Saccharomyces cerevisiae S288C: one gene and its partner. The gene in region 1 interacts genetically with each later gene. Each region holds a gene or a part of one and is shown on either strand. Other genes may lie near its edges. The genes, in order: VSB1 and SUL1.

The links.
Region 2: mutations in VSB1 (region 1) and SUL1 are lethal when combined (synthetic lethality), as found in Saccharomyces cerevisiae (one large-scale study listed by BioGRID).

What each region holds. Positions count from the first base shown.
Region 1 is NC_001139.9:736,596-753,980, forward strand, and holds VSB1 (Vsb1p), read left to right. Parts: upstream 1-5,729; coding exon 5,730-8,840; downstream 8,841-17,385. Other genes in the region: PPT1 (protein serine/threonine phosphatase), read right to left, coding at 67-1,608; ASN2 (asparagine synthase (glutamine-hydrolyzing) 2), read left to right, coding at 3,349-5,067; YGR126W (uncharacterized protein), read left to right, coding at 9,240-9,932; YGR127W (uncharacterized protein), read left to right, coding at 10,203-11,141; UTP8 (Utp8p), read right to left, coding at 11,355-13,496; SYF2 (Syf2p), read left to right, coding at 13,805-14,452; YGR130C (uncharacterized protein), read right to left, coding at 14,799-17,249. UniProt on the Saccharomyces cerevisiae protein: Amino acid transporter involved in vacuolar uptake of basic amino acids for storage during nitrogen replete condititions. May function as an amino acid/proton antiporter.
Region 2 is NC_001134.8:779,957-796,739, forward strand, and holds SUL1 (sulfate permease), read left to right. Parts: upstream 1-9,278; coding exon 9,279-11,858; downstream 11,859-16,783. Other genes in the region: SNF5 (Snf5p), read left to right, coding at 1-2,428; BSD2 (Bsd2p), read left to right, coding at 2,635-3,600; CTP1 (Ctp1p), read right to left, coding at 3,717-4,616; YBR292C (uncharacterized protein), read right to left, coding at 4,746-5,117; VBA2 (Vba2p), read left to right, coding at 7,050-8,474; cation-transporting P-type ATPase PCA1, read left to right, coding at 12,893-16,543. UniProt on the Saccharomyces cerevisiae protein: High affinity uptake of sulfate into the cell.

The DNA of each region.
Region 1 (17,385 bases):
ATTAGTTTCTTTTATTCCCAGACTTTCTGCTTTTGATAATAATCTAGCAAAATAGAAAAGGCATGACTATAAACCAAAACCACCATTAGAATAGGCCATTGGTTTTATATCTGGGTGCTCAACAGCTTCGAATGTCTCAATTATTAGATTTTGGTCGTCATTCCTGCCAGCCTGTAAAATACCATGGCCTGGTACAACATGAATAACACCCCCAAGATTACCTTGGCTATCACAATAGTTTGGAGCACTGAAAACTGTCATTAATTTACCCTTCTGCTCGAATTGCACACCACCCATTCTTAACTCGTGAGATCTAAAAATCTTGCGCAATTTGTTGTTTCTTAGAAATCTATCTGTAATGTCGGGTCCAAAAGCATGTCCTAAACCACGCTGAGAAGGACCCATCCCGTTGGCTTCTTGTGGGTCCGCCCATAGAAGTTCCATAAAGGCGCCATCTCTAGGTGGTTGGGCAAATCTATCAATATTCTTGAAATCAGACAAAGTTGCTGAAGGATCACTTGGTAAACCACCATGCATTACAAGGTAATCATTATTAATTAAGGTAGCCAATGGAAGGCTCTCAAAACTTTGTGCAAACATGTTAAATATCCTTTGTGAATATTTGTATTTACACTCATCTTCAAACCCATAGATTTTGTTCATATTATCACTCTCATGATTACCTCTGTTCAAAAAGAAATTATTTGGATGTAATATTTTCAAACAGTAGAATAATAGTGCAACTTCACACGACCAAGAACCACGGTCGACAAAATCACCATTGAATAGATAAGTGTGCTTAGGACCTACTTTACCAAACTTGCGAAATAAATTCAAAACATCATAAAATTGGCCATGCGTATCACCACATACTGATATCTTAACATCAGGAGTAGAGTTATTTTCTAGTTCTACCATAGATGGCTCTTGACGAAATAAGGTATCAGCATGAGAGATAATAGCTGCAACGTACTTTTTTGGTAAATATTTTCCCTTTAGGAAAAGATCGTTAACCATTTTGGAAATAAACTCTTGAGACATGTTCTTGATCTTTGCACCTTTAAAGGCATTCTTATCGTCATACAGCTGTTCAAATTCTAACTTTGGACCTTCATAATTGGCTAAATCTGCATTAGCATCAAATGAACTCAAGTTCAAAGTCTGACACAAACTGATCTTGGCTTCATTTTCTGCGCCTCCGATAGCTTTCCTAAATCTTTCTTCTCTAATGAACCTATCACATGTAAGTAACGCCTTAGTAGCAGCCGGATCATTGGGCTTCGCCTTTAGAAGCACATTCAAATCTTTCCTAGCCTTTTTAAATTCTAGCAGAGCCATGCAGGATAATGCACGTCTATGATAAGCTTTGATATTTTTGGGATCCAGTTTAATGGCTTCATCACAGTCATTTAAAGCGCTTTGAAAGTTATCTACCTTAAAGTGAGCAAATGCTCTGTTCGAAAAATAGATAGACTGTGTAGAATCTAAATCGATCGCCTCTGTATATTTTTCAATGGCCTTTAAAAAATGTTTTTCCTTCACAAAAACATTTCCTTCGTTCTTTCTTTCAAGTGCCTTCGCGCGATCTGCTGCTGTGGGTGTTGACATATTCGAGATATTTGATTATACCAAGGCAAGCGTTATTTCTTGCCTCTAAAATTGTTAAAGTTCTGTGTCAAGCTCTATAAGCTGTTTTCGCCAATTTTCTTACCTCATCTGTGAAATTTTTCAGTTTCCCGCCGTCGTTTTTTTCCCTGGTTTAGCGTTTTAACGGAAAAAGAAATACATACATACAATGATTGAAAAAATATTTTCATAAAGAAGAAAATGAGAAGGAACTTTTGAGGACTAGAAGTGTTCCTGATAATTGTCTCAGCCAGAATTTTCAGTGGCCAAGGTACGAACAAGAAACTGCTAAAAGGAAAAAAAATACTCAGAATAACAGAAGATGACAGACAGTATTGTGGAACCCCAACAATTATCTCAAAATTTACCTATTTCTTAAGTATAAACAGTACACTGCATCAGTGGTATTAGATTTGTCATGGTGTAAAATTTTATGATAAAAAAATACAACATGGCGGGCGTAAAATAAAATACATATTCGTAATCCTGGAATATTACGCCAACTACAACCAATAACTTATGATTATATTACCAGAATATTATCATGTATGGCTCTCAAAATATGACATAAATGGTTTCTATTAAAAGCATCATCAATTCAATGAAGCTGAAATTTCAAGGATTGGTGATGTAATAGAACAATGAGCGGCGATATCATAGAACGAAAAAAGAAGTAATCGTCATTTTTTGTAGCACTCTTATTTCCTTTTTTAGAGTTCTAATCCTCAAGGTGAAACCGTAACATATGCATATACTTAACGATACCGCCTTCTTTGAAAATTAGAAGCCTTATATCTATTTCGAACGCACATATGTTGTCATACACAATGCGACACATGAAAATACTACTCTTTACACCTGTATTATCAAACTATTAATCAGTGACTTCCGAAAAAAATAGGTCTCTTGGCCCAGTTGGTTAAGGCACCGTGCTAATAACGCGGGGATCAGCGGTTCGATCCCGCTAGAGACCATTTACTTTTTAGAATGCAAATATAAGATCCCGATAAATCATAGAACCACCACTTACTTATTCACTTATGTGGTCCTTCCTGCTGTGGGCAGAGAGCGATTTGCACGTACAAAGCGATCAAATTACGAACAAAACAATACATAAGAGGTTTGGACACGTTCTTAAGGCTAACTCCACATTGCGATAACAAGATTAAAGTGAGCTCCTGCTCATTCCTAATTGGAACTCATCATGCCTCCCATCAAGGTGGAGCCTGGATTTTACTAAAGAAACCGTTCGAACGGCTCTGTATTTACTAAGAGGGGGATATATCAAATCGTGGAAAACATGAGAGAACAGTCTCGTTGCGTGCAACAGCCGCTATCCTGCTGCTCTCTGCATAACTGGACCTTGCGTATTGGGTTCATTCTTTTGGCTTTGTGAAACGATTCACAAAGCCATACGTCCGTAGTATGGACCCTGCAGGAATGGTCTACATTTTCTATCTACTAGTAAAGCTTTATTCACATATGGGTGCCGCACGGCGCGGGTTTTTGCAAATTTTCTTAGCATTGACTCATGGCAAGATTTCTCCAGAAAATCAGTAAAGCCTCATCCAGCCTCTCTTCTTGAAAAAATTATGACTTTGAATCGCATATTTCAAAGATTTGCCACTTGCTTAGTTTCATTTATTCTAATTTAACTTTTATACTATTTTTTTTGCTTCCCAGTTAAGCTCACCAAAACACAAATACTCACTACAATACAATATGTGTGGTATCTTTGCAGCCTTCAAGCATGAAGATATTCACAACTTCAAACCAAAAGCTCTACAACTATCTAAAAAAATCAGACACCGTGGCCCAGATTGGTCAGGAAATGCCGTTATGAATTCCACCATTTTCGTTCACGAGAGGTTGGCTATTGTTGGTTTAGACTCCGGTGCCCAGCCAATCACTTCAGCTGATGGCGAATATATGCTTGGCGTTAATGGTGAGATCTACAACCACATCCAACTAAGGGAGATGTGCTCTGATTACAAGTTTCAAACTTTCAGTGACTGTGAACCCATCATACCGTTATATTTGGAACATGATATCGATGCTCCAAAATATCTGGACGGTATGTTCGCATTTTGTCTGTATGATTCCAAGAAAGACCGTATTGTCGCTGCAAGAGACCCTATCGGTGTTGTCACTTTATACATGGGGCGTTCTTCTCAGTCTCCAGAGACCGTTTATTTTGCCTCCGAATTAAAATGTCTAACTGACGTTTGTGACAGTATCATTTCGTTCCCTCCTGGTCATGTCTACGATTCTGAAACGGACAAGATTACTCGTTACTTTACCCCAGACTGGTTGGATGAAAAGCGTATCCCATCCACCCCAGTTGACTACCATGCTATCAGACACAGTTTAGAAAAGGCCGTTAGAAAGAGGCTAATGGCTGAAGTTCCATACGGTGTTCTTCTATCCGGTGGGCTGGACTCTTCTTTGATTGCTGCGATTGCTGCTCGTGAAACGGAAAAAGCTAATGCTGATGCTAACGAAGACAACAATGTTGACGAGAAGCAACTTGCAGGTATCGATGACCAAGGCCATCTACACACATCCGGTTGGTCTCGTTTGCATTCGTTTGCGATTGGTCTACCAAATGCACCTGATTTACAAGCGGCTAGAAAAGTCGCCAAATTCATTGGTTCTATCCACCATGAACACACTTTTACATTACAAGAAGGTTTGGATGCTTTGGACGACGTGATCTACCATTTGGAAACTTACGACGTTACCACTATCAGAGCTTCTACACCAATGTTCTTACTATCTAGAAAGATTAAGGCCCAAGGTGTCAAAATGGTTCTTTCTGGTGAAGGCTCGGACGAAATATTCGGTGGCTATCTATATTTCGCACAAGCACCTTCTGCTGCAGAATTTCACACCGAATCTGTGCAACGTGTCAAGAACTTGCATTTGGCAGATTGTTTGAGAGCTAATAAGTCCACGATGGCTTGGGGTCTAGAAGCTCGTGTTCCCTTCTTAGACAAAGACTTTTTGCAGCTATGTATGAACATTGATCCAAATGAAAAGATGATCAAGCCAAAGGAAGGACGTATCGAAAAATACATTTTAAGAAAGGCATTCGACACTACAGATGAACCAGATGTTAAGCCATACCTACCTGAAGAAATCTTATGGAGACAAAAGGAACAATTTTCCGATGGTGTTGGCTACTCATGGATTGACGGCCTAAGAGACACTGCTGAAAGGGCCATTTCTGACGCCATGTTTGCCAATCCAAAGGCTGATTGGGGCGACGATATTCCAACCACCAAAGAAGCTTACTGGTACAGGCTGAAGTTTGATGCTTGGTTTCCTCAAAAGACTGCGGCAGACACTGTCATGAGATGGATTCCAAAGGCCGATTGGGGTTGTGCCGAAGATCCTTCAGGTAGATACGCCAAAATACACGAAAAGCACGTCAGTGCTTAATACGAGCGCAATCGTATTCTTATAATTGACGAGTGAACCAAGAAATGCGGTGATACAAACGGATATTAATCTATATAGATATATGTATATAATAAAAGTTTTCAATCTGCTGACCCCTTAGGTTACTTATCTATAGGATTCGAATTACGATATGAAACCCTTTCGGTAGATATCACATGGAATACTGCAGCCGATTGATTAGTTAATTTCTTATCTCGCTTTTTTTCTCTTTATCTATCTATCTATCTATTTATCTATCTATCCTTATGCTGCAAAATGAAAAATTCCCTAGGAAGTTCGCGCTATCAAGGTTCTTTTTCCCACGTATCGGTCCCTGAGTGGATCCCAAAAAATGTGTGGGACTATGACTATATATATAACAGTCACAGTTGAATCATATTAATGTTCTATTTCTTGAGGTGATTTCAAATTGTGGCTCCAACAAGTAATCTCGGCAAGCTATCCCTTTTTAAATAATATTTTGCATTCTTTTTCTTTTTTTTTTTTTTTTTTTTCCATCTCACAGCCCTTCTTTATTTTTTCAATAAGGTAACAGAGTTGATAAGGAACCAGATAACAATCAAAAAGAATCGTTTCATTTCAGAGCTACCACCGGTCTATAAGCAAGACAGTTTAAAATCTCAAAAATTTAATTTAGAAATATGGGAAGGACTATTAGGAGACGCCGGAGTAATTCGTCGCTTTCGGAGGCCATATCAGTTTCTTTAGGAATAAATCAAGACTCATCTGTGAACAAGATGCATAGAGCGAGTGTTAGCGCAATGTCTCCTCCATTATGCCGTTCATACATGAGCGGATTTTTTACTGGTGGAAACTCACCTATGATCAATAATTTGTCGGATTCAAAACTTCCCATCTCGAACAAACAACATCCTAAAGTGATACATGGATCAGAAAATTTGCATAGGCAGACAGCTCAACTATCCAATGAATTTTGCTCCTCTTCTGTGGAAGAAAATTCTCCCACAATTAAGGATTACATGGACATTATAGGCAATGGTGATAGAAAAGATGATCAATCTATGCGTACTATAGAAGAGAATATTGATGAAGAATATTCAGATGAGTACTCCAGATTGCTACTTAGCCCAGCATCGTCTAACGTGGACGATGACCGAAATCGAGGACTACAGAATAGTTCACTACCGGAATTAGAAGATGGTTACGCGGGCGGATATCAGTCACTTCGTCCCTCCCATAATTTAAGGTTTAGGCCAAGAAACTTGTGGCATATGTGTACGTCATTTCCTTCCAAATTTGCACATTATCTGCCCGCAGCAGTGTTAGGTTTGCTTTTGAACATTTTAGATGCCTTATCTTATGGTATGATCATTTTTCCAATCACAGAGCCAGTTTTTTCTCATTTAGGGCCCACTGGTATATCCATGTTTTATATTTCCACCATAATATCACAAGCCGTGTACTCCGGAGGCTGGTCGAGTTTTCCTTCCGGGATTGGGAGTGAAATGATTGAAATTACTCCGTTTTATCATACAATGGCATTAGCTATAAAAGAGGCATTAGCAGGTAATGATGACGAAATCATAACGACAACGATATTTTGTTATGTGATAAGTTCGATGCTCACAGGTGTCGTTTTCTATGCATTGGGTAAACTACGACTAGGAAAGATAGTGGGATTTTTTCCACGACACATATTGATTGGCTGTATTGGAGGTGTTGGTTATTTCTTGATAATTACAGGAATTGAAGTCACAACGAGGGTGGCGAAATTTGAATATTCATGGCCTTTTTTTTCAGGGCTGTTTACGGATTATGACACATTAGCGAAATGGTTATTACCTGTACTATTGACTGTAGTTTTAATCGGCACTCAACGCTACTTTAAGAACTCACTCGTTTTGCCAAGTTTTTACATCTTGACGTTAGTTTTGTTTCATTTTATTGTTGCGATCATTCCAACATTATCCTTGGATGCTTTGAGACAAGCTGGATGGATTTTTCCTATTGCCAACTCAGATAGTAAATGGTATGACCATTATAGATTATTTAATGTCCATAAAGTTCATTGGTCACTAGTTTTGCAACAAATACCAACGATGATGGCATTGACATTTTTTGGTATCCTACATGTTCCTATAAATGTTCCTGCGTTGGCTATGTCACTACAAATGGATAAGTATGATGTTGACAGAGAATTGATTGCACATGGTTATTCCAACTTTTTTAGTGGATTATTAGGTTCTGTCCAAAATTACTTGGTATATACCAACAGTGTTCTGTTTATTAGGGCGGGCGCTGATTCGCCATTCGCTGGGTTCCTTTTAATAGCTTTGACTATCTGTATTATGATCATTGGACCAGTCATAATATCATTCATTCCAATCTGTATAGTGGGCTCTCTAATTTTCCTACTAGGCTACGAGTTATTAGTGGAAGCGTTGGTCGATACATGGAATAAATTGAATAGATTCGAATATTTGACTGTTGTCATTATTGTTTTCACGATGGGTATCTTTGATTTTGTCCTAGGTATCATCGTTGGCATTTTAATTGCATGTTTTTCGTTTTTGGTGGATAGTACGAAATTACAAACCATTAACGGTGAATATAATGGGAACGTCGCAAGAAGTACAGTATATCGTGATTACGTTCAAACAAAATTTTTGGATGGAATTGGTGAACAAATATATGTTTTAAAGCTCCAAAACCTTCTGTTTTTCGGAACAATCATATCTATTGAAGAGAAAATTGAAAGATTGCTGCAAATAAGTAACAAAGATGCAACAAAACGCAGAATAAAGTATTTAATATTGGACTTTAAAAATATTAATGCCGACAATATTGACTATTCTGCGGCAGAAGGTTTCAATAGAATTAAAAGATTCACGGAAACCAAAAGAATCAAACTAATCATATCTTCAATCAAAGAAAGGGACCGTATTTACAACGCCTTCAATAATGTGGGATTACTAAACGATGTGGAATTATTTGCTGATTTAAACAGTGCGTTGGAATGGTGTGAAAACGAATTCCTTTTTCAATATAAACAATTAAGAAAAAAGGCGAAAGAAAGATTGGAAGAAGGAAAGCAAAATAATGTCGTATCCGCAGTAATTGCAGCCACTAAAAACAAAAAAATTGATACAATAGGAAATGGTTTAAACAGGGGAAGCAATGGAGACACAGCGAGAAACTTAATGTCACTACCAACCAATACTCCTCGTAATTACCAAATACTTTCTGTAGCACAGAATGTATTTGTAAACGACGAACAAGCAGTGAAGAATTTCAAAAAGGAGTACAAAGATGATGAACCTGTCCTGCCTATATTGTTATTTGCATTAAAGCAGTACCGACCCGATATAATATCTGAAGTTCAAAAAGTAAGAGAAAAGGAAATCAAGTTTTGGGCACAACTCTGCCCCTACTTCACCAGGCGCAGATTAGCAAGTCAATCACATTTACTACATGCAGACAACATTTTTTTCCTTGTGGAAACAGGTATGTTGAAGGCAACATATGAACTACCACAAGGAACCTTGTACGAGATTTTTTCAAATGGCACATGCTTCGGAAAAATCATTGCGCCAGGGAATGCTATGCCTAGAGAACAAAAGCTCACCATCGAAACTGAAACTGATTCCGTATTATGGGTTATAGACTCTAGCTCGTTGAACAAATTGAAAGAAGACAATCTAGCATTGTACGTGGAGGTTGCATTAATGGTCATGTGTATCAAGGACACCAGATTCAAAGAATTACTAGGTTACACACTTGTTAGCGCATGAGAGCGTACACGTATATTTATTTAATTTCTTTTATTGCCGGCGTATTGCAAGTAATTTACACCAGTACTAAATAAAAGCAGGATGCTCCTGCATCTGTATAAGTGATGCCGTTGTAGGATTTTTACCATCTCGACTATAAACTTTTTGTACTTGAGTCTTCACTTCCGGAATTTTACTGCGCGATTTTCTTTGATAGGGCCCCTATCGTAGACGAAAAGTGATAATTCCCATCGATGAGCAACTACATACCTCACTTGACTTAATTGCTCTCCTAAAGAAAAAAAATACCGTTACTTTTTTCATTAATATACTACCACAACAATTCACAACGGGTAGTTGTACGGTTAGTTTATATCCGCATTAACAAATCAAAGTCATAACAACGTATCAACGTAGACTATGCCTGTCCCATCTGTTACTGTCACTACCGATAATGAATATGAAGACATATCGTCCTTTTCTTCTATTGACTCTTACAAACCGGAGCCCTTTACTGGGTTCAAAGATTCTGAAGCTCCAGAACAGCCTCTTTTAAAAAACGATACCATTGTTGGAAAGGGGCAACTGGAAGATGATAGTAATGTAGATGATCAACACCGTCATTCAGATGTGCATTCTCATCACAGTTCTAGTACTTTAAAAAGGCCAACTTCAAATTCGATAGAAAAGATGGTTACCCACAATGCTTTAGAGGGCAACTCAGAAACAGTTGATTCCTTAAAAGAAGATGGTTTAAATTTGAACAAGAAAGCTCTTCCGGATATTACCGCCCCAGTAACAAACTCAGCTCACGATGCTGCATTTCCAGAAGAGTATCGTTTAGAAACTGAAACCGGGTTGGTCAAATTGAAGACGCTTGAAAGTTTGAAGAGGGAGGACTCTCGCGTATCCTCAACTAAAAAAGAGCATATTAACGACCATACAGATATGCATTCGACACGATCCAAGGTTACTACAAATTCTCAAGGTTCTTCTCTAGAACCAAACAAGTTGAACATGGCAGTAGAGAAGAATAAGAAGAGGATCGAAAAATATCAAAAACATAAATCAGAAAAGGGGATCAAGGGGTTTTTTCATAGAATTTTCGATTAAGTGGCATAGCAACATTTAGTTCGCAATGCGTTTACTTCAGAATCATTCTTTTTTTTTTTTTTTTTTTTTTTTTGCCTCACATTATATTCTTGGCATCTGCCTAGCTTTCGACTTTTTCGTTCAATTCCTAAAGCGCTAAAAAAATAGTCTCCCCCTGAAAGTGGAGTAGGATAGTAGTATATGAAGTGAGGCAGAAAAGGAAAGAAACGCTTGCATTTATTAACACACCTGTGGCTAAAGTATTAAAAACCAAAAACTAACGAACAAATAATGTGCATTTTAATGGCCACAAGGGCACATCCTGACTATGAACTCATCTTAATATCTAACAGAGACGAATTCTTGGCAAGAAAAACACATGCTACATGCTGGCATAACAATGATTTTATCCTTTCACCCTACGATCTGGCCAAAACCTCAGCAGAAAAACAAATATTTGGCACTTGGTCTGGCATAAATAAAGAAGGAAAATTAGCCACTATTCTTAATTTAAAACTTGACAATGAGCAAAATAATACGAAATCAAGATCCCGTGGTCTGTTACCATTTATATTTTTGTCGATCCATAAAGCAGATTTTGAAGATTGGGATAATTACAAAAAGTTTGAAGGTCACTATGATGGGTTGAAGTCCACAGGTGATTTTAATTTTTTTTACGGCGACGTTATCAAAAAGCAATATAAAGTTATTGATTCTCTAGGAAGAACTTTTGATGTGTTGAGTTCTACCTGTAGGAAAGATCTTGATTCTTACATGGTTGTTTCTAATGGTAAATTTTATGACAGCTCCAGTATACCAGGGCAGGCTTGGGAAAAAGTAAAGGTAGCACGTGATAGTTTAGAAAATCTAGTTTTAGAGAATATTGAATCAGATGAGGAGAAAATAATATCAAGTTGCTTTCAACTCGCCTCGAAGTCTTCCCTTCCAAGCACTATTTCAAACCCAGATGTCTTGCAGATGGTAGATCCAAATGTAACCATGAATACCATATACGTACCACCTTTACGGAGGCCTCCCAGGGATGACTTAGGTGCCTCAATTCCTGATGGTGATTACTACGGAACTCGCTCTCAAATAGTTTTACTCGTGAGTAAGGATTCAACGAGAGTTACCTTTATAGAAAGGGTCCTTTATAGCTCAGATGAAGACGTGCGCAAGTATTCGGTAACCTCACCTAAGGAGGAAAAAAGGTTTAAATTCAAATTGTAAAAATCACAATCTTCCATTTTATTTCAAACTAGCTTTAAATTCCATCTTCTTCCCCTCAGAACATTCCGGTATCTCTTGTTGGACACATCTAATGTATATGATGTTTTCAAATTCTAAATGCCTGTTAGTTTATCAGTAACCACAGTAGACGCTATATATATTAGTTCCTTTTCTATATAGGTATTATACAATACAATCAAATTCATTGCATACTCAAATGTCCAAGTATTCCATGGTGTAAGTGGGTAAGGCTCGCTTCTGAGAAGTTCCGTTATCAAAGGTTGAGCTAGCAAACCCATGCTGAAAACCTTTCGTATCAATCAAATTCCACAATTCGGTATTTCTTTCAGCAATCTCAACTTGTTTGTCAATATATAAGGTTAAGTTCTCCAATAGAGCACCTTCTAATGAAAATAGCCCGATAGAATCTAGCACAAGGGACAAGAGTTGAAATAGCTGCGTGCTTTGGCTAGGGTTGAAGCATTCTGGTGAGCTGTCTTCACCACCGCTTGTTATGAACTCAATGAAATTTTGAACGTCTAATTTACTTAGTTTCTTCATTTCTTGTTTAATAGAGTCTCTGGTGAAATCCTGCAAAATCCTAAATGAGATATCAAGTAATAGTTCCCTGTTTCTGATAGAAAACAATTCTTCAAGTAGTTCATTTAATGGCAAGTTTGGGCATGTTACAATTGCTTGTTTAAATAATCTAGGTTGGTCTCTTAGTAAGGATAGCAAGTTGCGTGTACGACTCAATGGAAACAATGGGTGTGTCAATAAAAACGTTAAAGTTTTTGGATAATCATTTCCGCTAAACTTTCCGAAAATTAGATCTAAAACTTTATTCAAAAAGCCAGGATCAGAAATATATCTATCTTTTTCAGTATAATGTTCTTCTTTGATTTTTAGTTCTTTGAAAAATATGTCATCAAATGATGTAATGTCATTATCTTGAAGGGCTGAAAGCTTTTCAATAACTTCATTACAGTGGAGGACTGGAACGCTTGAATCCCCGCTGACGTCGTTACATTTCACTCTCTTGTCATTTATGTCTTTATCATCAAATAGCGGCTTTAAAATAACTGAGCTATCATTATTTCCAACTTGAAAACTCTTGCCTAATGAGTCCTTCAACGTATTAGTTCCAACATCAATATTAATTATTTCTAAGGAAGACGTTGGGTTTGGTCCATTTTTCGTTGAAATACCAATTGCTATTGTTTTTGAATTATGCGACTTTTCTGAATTGATCACTGCAGATTTTAATAGTTGGAATGTTTTCACGTGAGTTAATTCTCTTTGGCTTAAAGTAGAACAATGCAGTAAGTCTAGTAGATAAATGACGTTGTTTACGGTCAGTAGAACTCTGTTTACTGAAACAGGTTGGAAAGAGATTAAGTCATCTCCAGGACTGAGTTTATCCACCATCGGAAATTCAATAACTTGTTGCAATTGGCAATGTGGTAAAGAGTAAATGTATATTTTCCCCTGGTTCAATTTGTAAAGTTTTCCAAATTGATAACAAAGCTTTGAATTTTCAAAAGAAAATCCTTCGATGATAGTAGATGATAATTCTTTTATGGGCGAACTTTCTCCACTGCCACAATCTGTTAGCTCGAGCAATTTATAGCAGACTTTATCATCCTGTAATGGACAGAGAACAAAAACATATTCAGTTCCATTTTCAGTGAACCATTTAGCATATTTTAAGTTATCATAAGATATATCAAATGAATGCAAAAGTGTTAACTTAAAATCAAAAATTTCAATCAACCCGTTCTGTAAAATTGCAATTACTAAGCTGTTCTTGGTGTCAATTTTAATACTCATGACTTTGGCTTTCGCCTTGATCTTATACTGAGATAAAAATTCGTCTGAACCCGTGTATGCTTTATTGTCAATATCACTCTCACTCAGATGGTCATTTGAGGTATCAGTGGTATCTTCCAGTGCCTTAGTGATAACATTTAGCGTATAATTACCCTTATTTACCATTAAACCAAAGGCCCAAATTTCAACATTTCTTTTTTTTTGGGTGTTGATAGTCTTCTCGTTGTTGGCTTCATCATCGGTACTGGCTTCTATATTTCCGTCAATGTTCGCTTGACCTTTCTCAGCATTGCATGCCGTGATAATATTTGTAGAGGGTATTGGGTAATCGAATGTTAACTTTGGTGTAGGATTAATAATATATTGAGATATAGATGACCCGGAAATACCTAACGTTATGTTATTTGTAGATTCATTAAAGGTGCCATCTGCGACTTGAACGTAATCTGCTTGTAAAGAAAAATTGCTCAATGAAGCAATTTTTGGGAGAGTTGCTAGTCTAAATGGTTGAGACAGGGATGGCATTTTGAATCTTTACTATCCTCCGGAATGATTTGCTGTTCAAGGAGCGCTAGGTGTGACATATAATATTACAAATTTAACAGTGACCTCATCTCATCAAAGTTTTCAAATTTTTCAGGCATCTGCTACAGCATAATGAAAAAATTTGAAAAATACAGACATTTCCGTGTAGAATGACAAAAAAGCTAGAATATTACTATATTTTCCTTAAAAGAGCAATATTTGCGATGAGGGGCTCTCAATGACAATGTTTGACTTCTCTATTGAACTGTAAGCGAAGCAAAACCATATCTTGTCAAAGTATTCGAAGAATGGATTTTTACAAATTAGACGAGAAGCTGAAGGAGTTGAAAAGGAAAAGAGTAGATGTATCTATAAAGAGTAGGAAGTTGGCTGACAGAGAGATTCAGGAAGTAAGCGCAAATCGAAAACCAAGAGTATACAGTATGGAAGACGTAAATGATGCAGATGAATCAGTAGGAGATACAGAAAGTCCTGAAAAAGAGAAAGCATTTCATTACACTGTCCAAGAATATGATGCGTGGGAACGTAGGCATCCTCAAGGGAAGACTGGGCAAAGCCAAAGAGGTGGAATTTCCTATGATCAACTTGCAAAATTGAGTTATGAGAAGACCTTGCGGAATCTCGCTACGCAAACACAGAATTCGAGCAAACAGGATAGTTCCGCCGATGAAGAAGACAATAAAAACGTACCCAAGAAGGGTAGAATCGGCAAGGTACAGAAGGACACTAAGACGGGTAAGATAACAATTGCAGATGACGACAAGCTAGTTAATAAGTTGGCCGTTTCTTTGCAATCTGAGTCGAAAAAAAGATACGAAGCAAGAAAAAGACAAATGCAAAATGCAAAAACACTGTATGGGGTTGAAAGCTTCATTAATGACAAAAATAAACAATTCAATGAAAAATTGAGCAGGGAATCAAAAGGATCAGAATAAGCTTCTCTTTTATTTAGAATATACCGATATAACCAAAGGAAAGTTTTAATACCCTGGATTTTTCATCGACCGTCACGTGACGAGCTGAGGTTAAATGCCCGCAAAAGTGCTTCAGAAGAGAGTCCATCTTACTCGGTTATTTGAGCACGAAACACTAGAGAATAACTAACTGGTTGATAAATTGTTGATTGAGTAAATATTGGTACATAAAACGGTTACAAAGAGAGGTAGATTAGGAAGGGTGAAAATAATCAAAGGATAACTTGATGATACTCGACAAAGAATAGAAGAGAAAAATAAAATAGAGGTGGGATATTCCTTGAACAAAAGTGGAATATTATTTTTTTTAGGCATACATGACGTCTTCCTCAGTATGATATTCATACAAGGAATCGTCCTTTGGAAGGACGCTCGTATTCTTTTGTGAACGGTCATTTGGTATTTTGTGGTTTTCAGCCGCGTGTATACCTTCAGCTTGTTTGTGCTGCCTACTCAATATTTCTTGCTTCAAGGCCTCATCAGCGTTTTTCTGGCGAGTTTGTTCCTCGATAGCCTTTTCAGCTTGTAATCGCGTTCTTTCCCTCTTGACTGCCTCCAGTTCTTTCTCTTCGGTTGCCAGCTTATCCTGTAGTTCAGTCAATTGGTCATTATAGGTTTGCTTGACTTGAGTAATTTGCTGCTCATGATCTAATTGAGCCTGATGCGCTTGTTCCTCCAGCTCTTGGCGCTGTTTTTCCAATAAGTTCTCTTCTTTGCGTTTTCTTTCTTCAGCTTCTAGCTTCAACTGTTCTTCATGAGCGCGGCGCTCATCTTCGAGTCTTTTGGTAATTGCCGATAGTTGAGTTTTTTCATTGGCGTTTTCCTGCTTGATTATGGTCACTTCGTTCAATAAGCTTGATATTTGATTATCAATATCATTAATTTGTGGAAGATATTCCTTGTTCTCTACACTTTCCAAAACTTGTACATTTTTTTCATGCAGCTTCTTATTTTCTTCAGTTTGGGTAACCAAATCCTCCTTTTTCTTTTCCAGATTATCGATTTCGTTTTGAACTTTGCCTTGTTTCAAATTAATCTGGTTAATCTTAAAGATCTGAGCATCCAACTGTTGAGATAAGTTACTTAAGTTCGTGGTCCAGTCATTGAACTCCTTTTGGACATTCGTTTTCTCATTGTTCAAATCATCGATTTCTGACTTAACGTTGGTTTGTTTGTCCAAGACCTCATTTTTCTCCTGCAACTTTTGGTTTTTCATATTTTCAGTGTCTTTTAATATCATTAGTTTCTTATTATTATGCTCGGCATTAACATCAATGATTTTTTTGACCAACCGGTTTTTACTAACTTCAATTTTCTCAGAAGTTTCTTCTCTCATGGCCTTCATTGAATTTTCAATTTCGTCAATCTGATTTTGTAAATCTTGTAGCTTTTCTTTGTATTCTTTATTTTTAGCATCATATTTATCCTTTTCCTTTGCTCGAAGATCAGCTAACCATGCTTGATGAATTTTTTCATCATAATTGATTTTATCATAAACTGCCTTTGATAGGTAACCATGTTCTTTTGTCTTTACAATTAATTCAGGATTTTCTGGAGTGGCCACTGGATTGGATGGAGCGGCGGTCTTACTTTTTTGGGTAGATGAAGAAGTAGGGCTTTTCCATAAAGCGAAAATTCCGGTTCTTTCCTTTCGAGAAGGTTCCTGAAAAGGGACCTTGGGAGCCTTGCTTGGATCGATTGGGCTTTCATCTTCTTCGGATTCCGGTTCCGAGGTTTCTGGAGTAGACGTTCTCTCAGCAGATTCCTCTGCAGACGATTGTTCGGTTTCCTCTTCTGCATCCCCTTCCGCTTCCACTTCCTTTTTTTCTTCCCCACTGGGAGGATTGACTTTTTTTACATCGGATTTTTCCTCCTTTTGTTCGTCTGTTGGCACGACACCTGACTTTGAACCGCCACTTTGATCTGTAGTGCGTGGTTCCAACACCCCATTCTCGGATGAGATTGGTTCCGCTACATTAATTTGAGCTGAATCAGCAGTGCCTTTGCCAATTGAAGTAGACTCACTCACTTTGTCTTCATGTTCTTCCTCCACGGAAGTTGCTTCATCAGCACTATTTTCGACAGCATTAGTAGTAGAAGTGCTGGTAGTAGAAGTACTGGTGGTAGTGGTTGTCGTAGTTGCAGTGTCAGCAGTTGCTTCAGTGGCCTCAGATGTGGTAGTAGAAGTAACGTCCCCTTCATCTGATGAAGACGATGACGATGACGATGACGATGACGATGACGATGATGATGTAGAAGTGGACGAAGAAGTAGTAGTGTCAGTGTCATCTTTTTCATCCTTAGTTAAGTCAGTAATTTTCTGGCACTTCTTCAAATATTTCAAATGTTTCTCCTTTAGTTCCAACTCAGTTAGTAACTGATATTGTCTTTCTTCATTTTGAGTTAGGTAAGTTGGAAATCTAATATCTTTGGCTCTCTTAGCATTTTTTGGTATGTTTTTGTACCCTAAATCCTTAGGTTGCTGTTTTGAATAGGCAGAAGTAGCACTTACGGTAGGAAACTTTCTGTTTTTTGCGTCTTCCCCATATGCCCGGTTGTTTTGCCTATTGGCGAGGGCATCTTGTCTAAATGGCGAGACCCACTCTTCCTTACCTTTTGGCTCATTGGACACAACCTTTTGCAAAAACTGATAAGGGCTTTCCTGCTGATGCGCTTGCTGATTTTGCGTATTTGCCGAAGATTGATTGATCAATTGCGTAAAGGGGTCGTCTTCTTGACGGTTGATATTGAATAGCATGTTTTGAATACGTAGTTGATTGACCTCTTTCTTTTAATTGCGTGCAGCTGCTCTCAGGTTTAAGATGTACGAGGGTCCACGGGGTAGCAAGCACAAGAACGATGATATATATGACAGAACGATGGATAAGAATGGT
Region 2 (16,783 bases), on another chromosome or scaffold:
TACCCCTCCTCCTCCTCCAGCACCACACAACTTACATCCCCAAATTGGTCAAGTGCCCTTAGCTCCAGCGCCTATTAATTTGCCTCCACAAATTGCTCAGTTACCTTTGGCTACACAGCAACAAGTTTTGAACAAGTTGAGGCAGCAGGCCATAGCAAAAAATAATCCACAGGTTGTGAATGCAATTACTGTTGCACAACAACAAGTGCAACGCCAAATTGAGCAGCAAAAGGGACAGCAAACGGCACAAACTCAGCTAGAACAGCAGAGGCAATTGCTGGTTCAGCAGCAACAGCAGCAGCAACTTAGAAACCAAATACAGCGACAACAGCAACAACAGTTTAGGCATCATGTGCAAATACAACAGCAGCAACAAAAGCAACAACAACAGCAGCAGCAGCATCAGCAACAACAACAACAACAACAGCAACAGCAGCAACAGCAACAGCAACAGCAGCAGCAACAACAACAGCAACAACAACAACAACAGCAGCAGCAGCAGCAGCAGCAGCAAGGACAAATACCGCAATCTCAGCAAGTTCCTCAAGTTAGATCCATGAGTGGACAACCTCCCACCAATGTTCAGCCAACTATTGGCCAACTTCCTCAACTTCCAAAATTAAACTTACCCAAGTACCAAACTATTCAATACGATCCACCAGAAACCAAGCTACCATATCCAACCTATTGGTCAGACAAAAAAGCAGATACGGATACTTTGTTGTACGAACAAATTATCCAGCGTGATAAAATTAACAAATATTCGCTAATAAGAGAAACCAATGGTTACGATCCGTTTAGCATTTATGGATTTAGTAATAAAGAGTATATTAGTAGACTGTGGCATACACTGAAGTATTATCAAGATTTGAAGAACACTAGAATGAAATCTATCACAAGCACTTCTCAGAAGATTCCTTCGGCAAGTATTTGGGGAAATGGTTACTCAGGGTATGGTAATGGGATTACGAATACAACTACCAGAGTTATTCCACAAGTAGAAGTTGGAAATAGGAAGCATTACCTAGAGGATAAATTAAAAGTCTATAAACAGGCCATGAATGAGACATCGGAACAGTTAGTTCCCATAAGATTGGAGTTCGATCAAGATCGTGACAGATTCTTCCTCAGGGACACTTTGTTATGGAACAAAAATGACAAGCTTATTAAAATTGAAGACTTTGTGGACGACATGTTGCGAGATTACCGATTTGAGGACGCTACGAGAGAGCAACACATTGATACTATTTGTCAATCTATACAAGAGCAGATTCAGGAGTTTCAAGGAAATCCATATATAGAGTTGAATCAGGACCGTCTAGGCGGTGATGACTTGAGAATTAGAATCAAGCTGGATATTGTCGTGGGACAAAACCAGTTAATCGATCAATTTGAGTGGGACATCTCTAATAGTGATAACTGTCCAGAAGAGTTTGCAGAGTCCATGTGTCAAGAATTAGAACTACCAGGTGAGTTTGTGACTGCCATTGCTCACTCCATAAGAGAGCAAGTTCATATGTATCATAAATCACTGGCACTGTTAGGTTACAATTTTGATGGATCAGCGATAGAAGATGATGACATTAGAAGCAGAATGCTCCCAACGATTACTCTTGATGATGTTTATAGGCCTGCAGCGGAAAGCAAAATTTTTACTCCAAACCTATTACAGATTTCAGCTGCAGAGTTAGAGAGATTGGATAAAGATAAGGACAGAGACACAAGAAGGAAAAGAAGACAAGGTAGATCTAATAGACGTGGTATGCTCGCATTGTCCGGCACATCTGCAAGTAATACATCTATGAACGGCGTTCACAACACAGTAGCAGCAGGAAATGCTTCATCGTTGCCACCAGGAGAGATTTTACTGCCAGATATTGCAGATATTCCAAGAACTTTCAGGACTCCAGTACCTAGCACTTTAATGCCTGGTGGTGTTGACGTAGGCCCTTCTGTGGAATCGTACGAATTGAGAAACACAACCACTTATAAAAGCAGGCCAGATAGACCTAAGCCAGTTTCACCTCCTTGTTATATTATTGACCATATTCCGGGTCATTCGCTACTACTTTCTATTAAACTGCCTGGGAAAGTTAATACAAAAGAAGAGTTCGCAGCAGCGCCCAATGACACAAGTAGTGGCACCAATGCAATGCTTCCGAGTCCAGAATCGCTGAAAACTAAGCTGAATAGTAACATTCGCGCTGGTGTGACGATACCTTCAATCCCAAACCCGATTGCCAATCACACTGTTACTAATTCACCCAATCCCACACTGCAGCCAGTAATCCCAGGTGGGGCAGCTAGTAAATCGGTACCTACACCTAGTCTTCCTATAGCACCTCCAGTAGCACCACATGATAGCGAAGCGACATTGTTGACTAATAGCAATAATGGTAGCAGTAACAATAACACACAGAATACATAGAAAATATATACACATATATAAAATATACCGGAGATGTAAATAACCGTGGAAGAATTTGTATTATCATCGTGTTATACGATGCGGAGTCCCTTTGCGCCTACTTTTTTTAGAAGAATAGTACATAACCTTTATAAAAATCTTCCAATTTAGATACATAAAAAGAGCATGAGAATAACAAGAACACGTAGTCTAGGAAACTAAGCGCTATGCCAGAGCAAGAACTACTTATAGGGCAAGAAATGAATACACTTCATGCAGGTTCATCTACTGATGGCATAAATGTCGGAAACGCAGGACGAACTAGAGACACACAAACTGGCGTAGAAGGGGAAACGGAAATAGGGTCTGACGAGGAAGATAGCATAGAGGACGAGGGAAGCAGCAGTGGAGGAAATAGTACGACAGAAAGACTAGTACCACACCAGCTGAGGGAACAAGCAGCCAGACATATAGGAAAAATAGGAAGACATTTTAATATTCTTGATAGACTTTTTAAGAAACGTACACAACAGTCTTCGGATATACAACAAGGTGCCATGTTTGATGGTGTCTTTAGCAATTTAAGCGCAAAACCAGATACCACAGAGACTGAAGGTAATAACGAACAAGACATACCACCTACATACGACGAAGCTGCTGCTGATATGGCCCCCTCGTATTATGGAATGGATTTGAACAATTCAGATATCTACTACGACGAAATATGCATTGAGGGGCTTCCTGTAGGAAATATAGCAAATTTATTATGGAATATCATCGTAAGCACGAGTTTTCAGTTCATTGGATTTTTAATAACCTACATTTTACACACATCTCACGCAGCAAAGCAAGGTTCAAGGTTTGGATTAGGGTTAACGTTCATTGGATATGGTTATTCAATGATTCCCAATGATGTTACTTCAAAAGTCGGCAAAAATAAAAGCTTAAATAGAATGGAATTAGAGGATCCAAATGAATTCGATGATGTTCGTCTAAATTCACAATCAACGACACAAGATAAATTTGAATCACATTTGAATCACGGTCTGGATGAAGAAAAACAAAACATACCATGGTTGGCTGTTTTTGTGGCATTTCTTGGGCTATTTATCACCCTGAAGAGTATATACGACTACATTCAAGTCAAAAAATTGGAAAAGAAATACCTCAACCAAAGTCAAAATCAAGCATAAGCCATCTTCTTCATTATGATAAAAAGAGATATATAACTTTTTTAAGTGATCGGCTGGTAAATAGACTTATAACGAGTAGAAAACATTAGATGATATATTGTACACAATAATACATTTCAGGCTAGCATAACTAAGACCTTTTCATAGATAGTGAAAACAATACCACCACTCAAGACCAATCTCCCAAGTCTAGGCGTAGCACCTTTCCAAAACGTCTTTAACCCTTCTTCTTTGAAAATGGTTGCAAAACAATTCATTGTAGAGGAGTATTTGGTGGAATCCAAACTTTGCATTCTTGTTTTCACAGTATCAAGGGGCATGGTGGAATAGACCGTCACAATACCACTAAATGCACCCACTAAGAAGGTTAACCCGGATGATAAAGGTTTGTCTTTTGGCGAATCCGTATAATCTTGGATCAAGGTCTTAATCTTATTGTAACAACCCAATCTAACGGCTTGGTTTGCGGCCTGTCTCATGGAAACTGGCAAAACACCACGATAAAGACCAGAAAATCCTTTATCACGGACTAATGATGAATAGTTTCGTACTACACCGCGCCCATTATTATGGTATTTTGGTGTAGCAGATTGTTTATCATCGATCAAAGCAGTTTTGATTGCTTCAAAAGGAGTCACTGCGGCAACACTTTCTAATAGTCCCGCACCTAACCCAGCTATCACCCCTCTTGTACCACTTAGTTCTCCAGTTTCACTATCTCTTAGCATGTCTTTAATGGTATCAAAGCCAAGAAATCTAATACCCGCCTTAGCGGTGTTTCCAATAATAAATGCGGGACATCCGACATAAATGGAACCAATGCCCTGAGTTTTTGCAGTTTTATATATCAATACCAGAGGATTTCTTGATGCCTTGGAGGCCTTATCAATCAGCTGCAGCCTTGTTTTGGCAAACTCAAAAGGATATGTTATACATGCTTCAGCAGCACCGGCTAGGGACCCTGCCAGAAACGAGTGCAATGGATCTACGTCACTTTTGGTAGCTTTACTGGACATCGGTAAAATGCTAATTTATAATTCAAGCTCTACTTTGGAGTTCTTTCATTGTGACATCAAAATGTTTTTAATTTTACGTTGGCTTCGACATTTTACGTTTTATATATCACGCTAAAGTGAGACTAAATTTCATTGTTCTTCTTTTTTTTTTTTTTCACTTCTAATAATTGAAAATTCCGCAGGAATTCTTCCATATTCTTGACTCTTCAGTAAGACTAACTTAATGGAAATAGAGAAAATAGTACATATTTGAAAAAAAAAAAAGAGGTGTTGAAATGATTTGAGAATATTAAATAGCTTACAAGCGTTAGCCGAGTTCCCAGACAGCAGAGTTTCTACCCTGTGCTCTTTGTTGGCGGCTTTATTGATGAGGAATATAAAAATGTAATTAGGCAAACCTACGCGCGAAAATATAAGAAGCAAAGATATAAAGTGTAGTATATTTGAATATTTACATGAACGAAACGGCGACGTATAATGGTAATCGGCTGGGAACTTCATTAAAAAGTCAAGATGTAAGTTACCTCTTAGTAAGAAGAGTTATTGCAGCAAGCTTAGTATCAATAGGGAGACTCTGTCATGTAAAAAAATAAATGAACACAATCATAACCTCTTCGACTGGGCTATTCGTTGTATAGTATATGTGGTGGAGTGTAATGAATGAAGTTCTCAGAAGCTTGAAAGCATATCAAAATCACGTATTGACTATGACAGATTCTTGTTTCTTGCTCCATTACTCCATTCGAGTTTTTCACAACTTTTGTCGTTCGTCTATAACATCTCTTTTTTTTCCCACTCTTCTAAAATATTGGCATAGCTGACATGTTTGGAACCGAATAAGCAATTACAATACGACAGTAAAATAAAAGCATGTTATTGCTGCTTGTAGAGAATTCCTGCATATGTAACTTTCTCATTCCGACGGGATAAGTTCATAAACTAATCAGCGATGAGTTGCGGAAAATTCGTCAATAGAATATTTTCCAGTCAGTGGTGGTCCCAGTGGCCTGCAACCTAATGGCTATAGTTCTGGATAATAAATTGGGCAAAGGTCAGTATAAAGAATGAATGTATCAGGCCGTAATTGAAGCTTTCAAGTCCAGGTGAAAGGCCAAATCGACAATTAGCGAAAACAGGATTTTTTTACCAACTTGAAATAGTGACTGCTGTCTTTTTGCCTGATTAAGTGGTTATATATTTCAACTAATATCACAACAAAAGGCCTCTCAAAATTTGTGGCGAAGTGTACATCCTGGGTGCTCAGGTAAGCGTCGTCTTCGTATTTTTTTTTTTTCAACAGTAGTTTGGAAATAATGCTCTTCGAGGAATGCGAGCGGAAATGTTATCCACTGTATAAGTCGATATTTTAAGGGACGCTAAATATATCATCATAGCTCGTCTATTGGTGGCTTCTCCAATTGCACTTTCAATGCATTATGGTAAAGTGTGGTGATAAGGCATAGTGATGTTTACAGAGGTCTGTTGGTTTCTCTGGGCTCGCTCATCATCCGACCAGTAACCTTGTGGGGTTTCACATATTGTTCTATGCATTATTATCACGGATTTGTGCCTGCAAATGCTGTTTCTTTGGCTTTTCTTTCTAAAAAAATTATGATATATATATTGTTCCTCCTTGTTTAACAGGCTTTACGGTATTGTGGATCCTAGTAATAGGCGTACTTTTCTTCATTTACATATTTGAACAATATATGTCTCACAAGTAGTTGACCGAATAGCGTTACGTAAGGGTCAAAAACCTTTTCAGAATTGTATATATGACATTTTTAGAACATGATATAATAAACAGAATATAAAAGAAAATAGAGACGACGTACCATGGCATGAAGAATTGTACTGATATCACATTGTGTTGAGCACTGATAGATTAATACTATATTTCTGCTAGGTGCGGGGGGTAACATGTCCTAATGTGTGGCAACCACATTCTAAGGCTCGGTAAGTGATGCGATATATGTGCATGTGTGGCTTTCTTCCTAATTTGCTATTAGATGATTGTGTGCAAATCCACAGAAATATACAATTTCGAGAATATATATACTAGTTATCGTTATAAGAACACACAGTATTGGCCAATTCTTGCCTCTGAATGGTACAAAATGCTTTAAAATGTAGTAAATGAAACATTAATTCCAAATCAGATTTTTTTTCGCAATGCTTAAATCTAGTAAACACAAAGTACTACCGAAAAGCAAGGATGGAAACTATGGCAGTATTGAAGAGACTGAAATTCCTTCTGTCGACTACAGTGAAGACTTAGATGAGGACTTGGACAAAGGCGAAGATATAGCGCTTTCAAGAATCCCAAATTGATGGATTATTGAAGCTACTCTTTTTTCTAATGTCTTTTTGTCCGGTTTTGACGGAACCGTTACAGCTTCGACGTACCAAACGATTGGTAACGAATTTAATCAGATGAGTATTTCAAATTGGATCACCACTGCGTATTTAATTACATCAACATCTTTTCAACCTCTTTATGGGTCATTTTCTGATGCACTTGGTCGAAGAAACTGCCTTTTCTTTGCTAATGGGGCTTTTACCATTGGATGTCTAGCCTGTGGTTTCTCGAAAAACATCTACATGCTTAGTTTTATGAGAGCATTGACAGGCATAGGAGGTGGTGGCTTGATCACACTTTCTACAATCGTAAATTCAGACGTTATTCCAAGTTCGAAAAGAGGAATTTTTCAAGCGTTTCAGAATTTACTTTTGGGATTTGGTGCCATATGTGGAGCGTCTTTCGGTGGCACAATAGCGTCGAGCATTGGTTGGAGGTGGTGTTTTCTCATCCAAGTACCCATATCTGTGATTAGTTCCATATTAATGAATTATTATGTACCTAATCAGAAAGAATATAATCGTCAAAATTCTAGCATATTCCAAAATCCCGGAAAAATACTCAGGGACATAGATGTTATGGGCTCAATTCTTATTATAACTGGTCTCACACTACAGCTTCTTTACCTGAGCCTGGGGTGTTCTACTTCTAAATTATCATGGACCAGCCCTTCTGTGCTACTGCTATTAGTTGGGAGTGTAATAATCCTCTTACTGTTCATATTGCACGAAAGGAAAACAAGTGCTAGAGCGATTATTCCTATGGAGCTGGTCAATTCCTCCTACAGTGTCGTTGTACTTTCGATAAGTATACTTGTTGGTTTTGCCAGCTACGCGTATCTTTTTACTTTACCATTATTCTTTCAGATTGTACTTGGAGATTCCACTGCAAAAGCAGGATTACGTCTTACGATTCCTTCCCTATTTACTCCGGTAGGCAGTCTCATAACAGGATTTTCCATGAGCAAGTACAACTGTCTAAGATTATTACTCTACATTGGTATTTCTTTGATGTTTTTGGGTAACTTTTTATTCCTGTTTATTGAAAAAACTTCTCCGAACTGGTTGATTGGTCTATTTTTGATACCTGCAAATCTAGGACAAGGTATCACTTTTCCTACGACCTTGTTTACTTTCATATTTATGTTCTCTAAGAGTGACCAAGCTACTGCGACATCAACTTTATATTTATTCCGTAGTATTGGATCTGTATGGGGTGTTGCAATTTCAGCTGGCGTCATTCAATTATCTTTCGCAGGTTTATTGCGTAGTAATTTGAAAGGTCTACTGGATGAAAACAAGATAAAGAAACTTATTGTTCAGCTTAGTGCAAACTCCTCATATATTGGATCTTTACATGGCGAAGTTAAAAACACAGTCATAAAGAGTTTTGATGAGGCAACAAAGAGGGCTCATCTAATGTCTACATTACTCTCTTCATTGGCCCTGATACTCTGCATCCTTAAAGACAATCTGGCGAAACCTAAAACAAGAAGATAAACAATATATACCTATGCCCTTGACCGACTCAATTGATACATTAACAGTATTGAAACTAGATATTCTACTTGACACTAAACTTTTTTTGTATTTCGTGGAATTGCAACGTTTCTAATTGACCGACAGTGCTGAACTGTGAGCGAATGCAACTATCTCTATAGTTTTTTTATCCTCTGTAAACTTTAACTAAATACATACTACTTTCATAATCTGTGAATAAGATGTGGCTGTGATAACCTAAAATAGTCACAAACCAATGAAAAAAGGCTTCAGAAAACTTGCTGTAAAGTCCCCCCACTTTTTTGTGTTACCGCCACCTCGAGTGCACTTTTTTTAATAAAGATCTCGTGTAATTGTCCAAATCTGACTTTTTCTTATAGTCTCGCTGGAACCACAGTGCGGCTTTGCAATTTTGCAAATCGGAATTTGAGTCACAGATCCCAGAAAAACTCCACACCTTCCCCACGCAGCAAGCGATAACGAACAAGTTGTCAAATTAGACCCATAATAATTTTGAACACTTCTACCTGTTCATGTCTTTTCTCGAACACTGTCATTTGAAATTATGCACTGTGAAAAAAAGAAACAAAGACCAAAAGAATAATATAAATAGTGAAGTAAAATGTGTTGTAATGCACATGGATCTTGTACTGCTCAAACTTAATATTTCTATTGTAGAAAAATTTTCGATTTAAAATTGTGAAACCGATTATATAAAAGTATATTAGCTGACATTAACGTCTCAAAACCAGGTCAATAGCTTTAAAAATAAAAATAAATCCCTGCAGAATACTCGGAAAGAATATGTCACGTAAGAGCTCGACTGAATATGTGCATAATCAGGAGGATGCTGATATCGAAGTATTTGAATCAGAATACCGCACATATAGGGAATCTGAGGCGGCAGAAAACAGAGACGGACTTCACAATGGTGATGAGGAAAATTGGAAGGTTAATAGTAGTAAGCAGAAATTTGGGGTAACGAAAAATGAGCTATCAGATGTCCTGTACGATTCCATTCCAGCGTATGAAGAGAGCACAGTCACTTTGAAGGAGTACTATGATCATTCTATCAAAAACAATCTAACTGCGAAATCGGCAGGAAGTTACCTCGTATCTCTTTTTCCTATTATAAAATGGTTTCCTCATTATAACTTTACGTGGGGCTATGCTGATTTAGTGGCAGGAATTACAGTTGGCTGCGTACTCGTGCCCCAATCTATGTCATACGCACAAATCGCTAGTTTATCTCCTGAATATGGTTTGTATTCCTCCTTTATTGGTGCGTTTATATATTCTTTGTTTGCCACATCGAAAGATGTTTGTATTGGTCCGGTCGCTGTAATGTCACTACAAACTGCCAAAGTCATTGCTGAAGTTCTAAAAAAATATCCCGAAGACCAGACAGAAGTTACAGCTCCTATCATTGCAACTACCCTTTGTTTGCTTTGTGGGATTGTCGCCACTGGGTTGGGTATACTGCGTTTAGGCTTTTTAGTGGAACTTATTTCTCTAAATGCTGTTGCTGGCTTCATGACCGGTTCCGCATTTAACATCATCTGGGGTCAAATTCCGGCTCTCATGGGATACAACTCATTAGTGAATACCAGAGAAGCAACGTATAAGGTTGTAATTAACACTCTGAAACATTTACCAAACACAAAGTTAGACGCCGTTTTTGGCTTGATTCCGTTGGTAATCCTCTATGTATGGAAATGGTGGTGTGGTACATTTGGTATAACTTTGGCAGATAGATATTATCGAAATCAACCAAAGGTAGCAAATAGACTGAAATCCTTCTATTTCTATGCACAAGCTATGAGAAATGCCGTCGTCATAGTAGTTTTTACTGCCATATCGTGGAGCATAACAAGAAACAAATCTTCAAAAGACCGTCCAATCAGTATTCTGGGTACAGTTCCCTCGGGCTTAAATGAGGTGGGAGTTATGAAAATCCCAGACGGTCTGCTATCTAATATGAGTTCAGAAATACCTGCTTCAATTATCGTTCTGGTGTTAGAACACATCGCTATTTCAAAATCCTTTGGTAGAATTAACGACTACAAGGTTGTCCCTGACCAAGAACTTATTGCGATTGGTGTGACAAATTTGATAGGGACATTTTTTCACTCATATCCAGCAACTGGGTCATTTTCCAGATCTGCTTTGAAAGCAAAATGTAACGTGCGCACTCCGTTTTCTGGGGTATTCACTGGCGGTTGCGTTCTATTAGCACTTTATTGTTTAACTGACGCCTTCTTTTTCATTCCTAAAGCGACACTATCGGCGGTTATTATTCATGCTGTTTCTGATTTGCTGACTTCTTACAAAACCACCTGGACCTTCTGGAAGACCAACCCGTTAGATTGTATCTCATTTATCGTTACAGTGTTCATCACAGTATTTTCATCCATTGAAAATGGTATATATTTTGCAATGTGTTGGTCATGTGCAATGTTACTATTGAAACAGGCTTTCCCTGCTGGTAAATTCCTTGGTCGTGTTGAGGTGGCAGAAGTATTGAACCCAACAGTACAAGAGGATATTGATGCTGTGATATCATCTAATGAATTACCTAATGAACTGAATAAACAGGTTAAGTCTACTGTTGAGGTTTTACCAGCCCCAGAGTATAAGTTTAGCGTAAAGTGGGTTCCGTTCGATCATGGATACTCAAGAGAATTGAATATCAATACCACAGTTCGGCCTCCTCCACCAGGTGTCATAGTCTATCGTTTGGGTGATAGCTTTACTTACGTGAACTGCTCAAGGCATTATGACATTATATTTGATCGTATTAAGGAAGAAACAAGGCGAGGCCAACTTATAACCTTAAGGAAAAAGTCAGACCGTCCATGGAATGATCCTGGTGAATGGAAAATGCCAGATTCTTTGAAATCACTATTTAAATTTAAACGTCATTCAGCAACAACGAATAGTGACCTACCGATATCGAATGGAAGCAGTAACGGAGAAACATATGAAAAGCCGCTACTGAAAGTCGTCTGCCTGGATTTTTCCCAAGTTGCTCAAGTGGATTCAACCGCTGTTCAAAGCCTGGTTGATCTGAGAAAAGCTGTGAATAGGTATGCGGATAGACAAGTCGAATTCCATTTTGCCGGAATTATATCTCCATGGATCAAAAGAAGTCTTTTGAGTGTTAAATTCGGAACTACAAATGAGGAATATAGTGACGACTCTATTATCGCTGGCCATTCTAGTTTTCACGTTGCAAAAGTTTTGAAGGATGATGTGGATTATACTGATGAAGACAGCCGTATAAGCACATCTTACAGTAACTATGAAACATTATGTGCTGCAACTGGGACAAATTTACCGTTTTTTCATATCGATATACCCGATTTTTCTAAATGGGACGTTTAGTGTAGTAGATAGTAAGTACTTTAATTACCCCCCCTGTTTTTAGTTATACATGAAAAGATAATTGTGTTATTAATGTAGATTACCATCAAATAGCTGGAATATTTATTATTTTGAGTATGTTGAATGGCGAAAGTAAAAATAAATTTTATAATTTCCTGAAAGCATTAGTACACGAAAAGGGCCGTTTTCAGTAGTTTAAGGCGCTGAAAAGACATGGTCTAGAAGTTAACTTGAGCTTGAGCCTATTTTCTACAAATGTCCTTTGAAAATACAAAAATAAAAATAAAAATGCATTTAAGTATTAAGCTTATGCTAGATAGAGCAACATTTTCCTAATTTTTTTTGAATTTATTTCATGGTTTTTAGGCGGAAAGAGTTTGGACGGCTTGTCTCTCCTAATGTGGAAGAAATTATGTTTTGTTATGAATCTGAAAAGAAAAATACTATTTTAGCAATACAATGAATTTTAAAAAGTTACCCTGTACTTTAATCCTTCAATTAAAACACTTCTTAAAATAGTATATTTTGAAGATCATCGATATATATACAGAGGCAGTTTTGCAAGGCAGATAACGTTATTGAGTTGTATGTAGGCTGTGTGATTTTAATCTCATAAATCAATAATGGAATAATTTTCTTATTGTTAATATCGATTTATATTTTCCAACAATACAATGAAGTAAGTACTATTTCTATTTGGAAGGAATTCATTCCCCATTTTAGCTCCTCGAGCGGATGAATCCATCACTGTTTTGAAGAAAACCAACAAAGTGTCAAATAGTTGTCTTTTTGAAATTGGTTCTGAAGAGTTTTCGGAAAATGATCTGATAACAGGCCTTTCTAAAAATATAAGGTTGAACGAATGTATGGGTTAGGTAATCAAAATTTAGGCGCCAACAAGGAATTTTTCTTTAAAATCGCATGAAAAGCCTACACTTGGCATAAATAAGGTGCAATTATAAATATAAAAGCAAGATATTTTCGAGATGCTTCCAGGATTTATACAATGAAAGAGCCCAAAGCTGCTGATAACGATGAAGCCGGAAAAACTCTTCTCCGGTTTAGGTACCAGCGATGGCGAGTATGGAGTGGTAAATAGCGAGAACATATCAATAGATGCTATGCAAGATAATAGAGGCGAGTGTCATCGTAGATCCATAGAAATGCATGCTAATGACAATCTGGGATTGGTCTCCCAGCGAGACTGTACCAATCGGCCCAAAATTACTCCTCAGGAATGTTTGAGTGAGACTGAGCAGATATGCCATCATGGCGAGAATAGGACTAAGGCTGGGTTAGATGTAGACGATGCTGAAACCGGTGGTGATCACACCAATGAATCCCGTGTAGATGAATGTTGTGCTGAGAAAGTGAACGACACTGAGACTGGCTTGGATGTGGACAGCTGTTGCGGCGATGCTCAAACAGGTGGTGACCACACCAATGAATCCTGTGTTGATGGATGCTGCGTTAGAGATTCTTCAGTGATGGTCGAGGAAGTTACAGGCAGCTGCGAAGCTGTATCTTCTAAAGAACAATTGCTGACCAGCTTTGAAGTTGTTCCAAGCAAATCTGAAGGTCTGCAATCTATTCATGATATTAGAGAGACAACTCGCTGCAATACCAATTCCAACCAACACACAGGGAAGGGTAGGCTTTGCATCGAATCAAGTGACTCTACACTCAAGAAAAGAAGTTGTAAAGTTAGCAGACAGAAAATTGAGGTTTCCAGTAAGCCTGAGTGCTGCAACATTTCATGTGTTGAGCGGATTGCATCTCGTAGCTGTGAAAAGAGGACTTTTAAAGGTAGCACCAATGTTGGAATTTCTGGGAGTAGCTCTACCGACAGTTTAAGCGAGAAGTTCTTCAGCGAACAGTACTCTAGAATGTACAATCGTTACTCCTCAATTTTGAAAAATTTAGGTTGTATCTGTAACTATTTGCGTACTTTGGGAAAAGAATCTTGTTGTCTCCCAAAGGTGCGTTTTTGTAGCGGGGAGGGTGCTTCTAAAAAGACAAAATACTCCTACCGCAACAGTTCTGGATGTTTAACAAAGAAAAAGACCCATGGAGACAAAGAAAGGTTGAGCAATGACAATGGCCATGCTGATTTTGTTTGTTCTAAAAGTTGTTGCACTAAAATGAAGGATTGTGCTGTTACCTCAACTATTTCTGGACACTCTTCGAGTGAAATTTCAAGAATCGTATCAATGGAACCAATTGAAAATCATCTTAATCTTGAGGCAGGATCTACCGGTACCGAGCACATTGTTCTTAGTGTTTCAGGAATGTCCTGTACTGGTTGTGAATCAAAACTTAAGAAATCATTTGGCGCGCTCAAATGTGTTCACGGTTTGAAGACCAGTTTAATATTATCGCAAGCTGAATTTAATCTGGATCTTGCTCAGGGATCTGTCAAGGATGTTATCAAGCACTTGAGCAAAACTACTGAATTCAAGTACGAACAGATTTCAAATCATGGTTCAACTATAGATGTTGTTGTTCCTTATGCAGCAAAAGATTTTATTAATGAGGAATGGCCACAAGGTGTCACAGAGCTGAAAATTGTTGAGAGAAATATCATTCGTATTTACTTTGACCCAAAGGTTATAGGTGCCAGAGATCTTGTCAATGAAGGATGGAGCGTGCCTGTTAGTATTGCTCCATTCAGTTGTCATCCAACCATTGAAGTGGGAAGGAAGCATTTAGTTCGTGTAGGCTGCACGACCGCTTTATCCATAATATTGACGATCCCGATTCTCGTGATGGCTTGGGCTCCACAGCTTCGTGAAAAAATTTCCACTATCTCCGCGTCAATGGTGCTAGCAACTATTATTCAATTTGTTATTGCAGGACCGTTTTACTTAAATGCCTTGAAGAGTTTGATATTTTCCAGGCTCATTGAAATGGATCTACTAATAGTTTTAAGCACTAGCGCTGCCTACATATTTTCGATTGTATCATTTGGATATTTCGTTGTTGGACGCCCGTTATCTACGGAGCAGTTTTTTGAAACCAGCTCTTTGCTTGTAACTCTCATCATGGTTGGTCGCTTTGTGAGTGAACTAGCTAGACATAGGGCTGTAAAGTCAATATCAGTACGTTCCTTACAGGCCTCTTCTGCTATTCTGGTGGATAAAACTGGTAAAGAGACGGAAATTAATATTAGACTTCTCCAATATGGCGATATTTTTAAGGTTTTACCTGATTCAAGAATCCCAACTGATGGAACAGTCATTTCTGGGTCTTCTGAAGTCGACGAAGCGTTAATCACAGGTGAATCTATGCCAGTCCCGAAAAAGTGTCAATCAATTGTTGTTGCAGGATCGGTGAATGGCACTGGTACTTTGTTTGTGAAGCTGAGCAAGCTTCCAGGGAACAATACTATTAGTACCATAGCCACGATGGTTGATGAAGCAAAATTAACTAAGCCAAAGATCCAAAATATCGCTGATAAAATTGCAAGTTATTTCGTGCCAACTATCATTGGAATCACTGTCGTCACCTTTTGCGTTTGGATAGCGGTTGGAATCCGTGTGGAAAAGCAATCCCGCTCCGATGCCGTAATTCAGGCCATTATATATGCCATTACGGTACTTATCGTTTCGTGTCCCTGCGTGATTGGACTTGCCGTTCCTATCGTATTTGTTATTGCAAGTGGCGTCGCTGCGAAAAGAGGGGTAATCTTCAAATCAGCAGAGAGTATAGAAGTTGCTCACAACACTTCGCATGTTGTCTTCGATAAAACGGGTACCCTAACTGAAGGAAAACTTACTGTAGTACATGAAACTGTTAGGGGTGATCGTCATAATTCTCAATCTTTGTTGCTTGGATTAACTGAAGGAATAAAACACCCAGTTTCCATGGCAATAGCATCCTATCTCAAAGAAAAAGGTGTTTCTGCTCAAAATGTTTCTAATACAAAAGCTGTGACTGGTAAGCGGGTAGAAGGAACATCATACTCTGGTTTGAAGTTACAAGGAGGGAACTGTCGTTGGCTTGGTCATAACAATGATCCTGACGTTCGAAAAGCCCTTGAACAAGGATATTCTGTATTCTGTTTTAGTGTTAATGGTTCAGTCACTGCAGTTTATGCATTAGAGGACTCTTTACGGGCAGATGCTGTCTCCACTATTAACTTGTTACGCCAAAGAGGGATTTCACTACACATTTTATCAGGGGATGACGATGGAGCCGTTCGTTCTATGGCAGCCCGTCTTGGAATTGAAAGCTCCAATATTCGTTCTCACGCAACGCCTGCAGAAAAGAGTGAATATATTAAGGATATTGTCGAAGGAAGAAATTGCGATAGTTCTTCGCAGTCAAAAAGACCGGTTGTTGTTTTTTGCGGTGACGGAACAAACGACGCAATTGGTTTGACTCAAGCAACGATTGGAGTTCATATCAATGAGGGAAGTGAGGTTGCCAAGCTAGCTGCTGATGTAGTTATGTTAAAGCCAAAGCTCAACAATATTTTGACTATGATAACTGTAAGTCAAAAGGCCATGTTTAGGGTCAAATTGAATTTCTTATGGAGTTTTACTTACAACTTATTTGCTATCCTTTTGGCGGCTGGTGCCTTTGTTGACTTTCATATTCCACCAGAGTATGCGGGTTTAGGGGAACTAGTTAGTATCCTCCCTGTAATTTTTGTAGCTATACTTCTGCGTTATGCAAAGATTTAGTCCAGGTACTGCTGCTATTTGATTGTAGATTTTCTTTTTTCTTTTCTTTTTTTTTTTTGACGACTCTGTAATACTCTATTTATTATTTAGTTTAGTTTTCTATTTAATATGATGGAATTCATAAAAAAAAAAAATACACATAGCCATGCCAGGTAATTGCAGATCAACTGATAAATTAGAAAAAAATTAATGCATCTTTAAGGTTTTAAATTAGAAATGTTTTAACTTTAAAGTCACTGA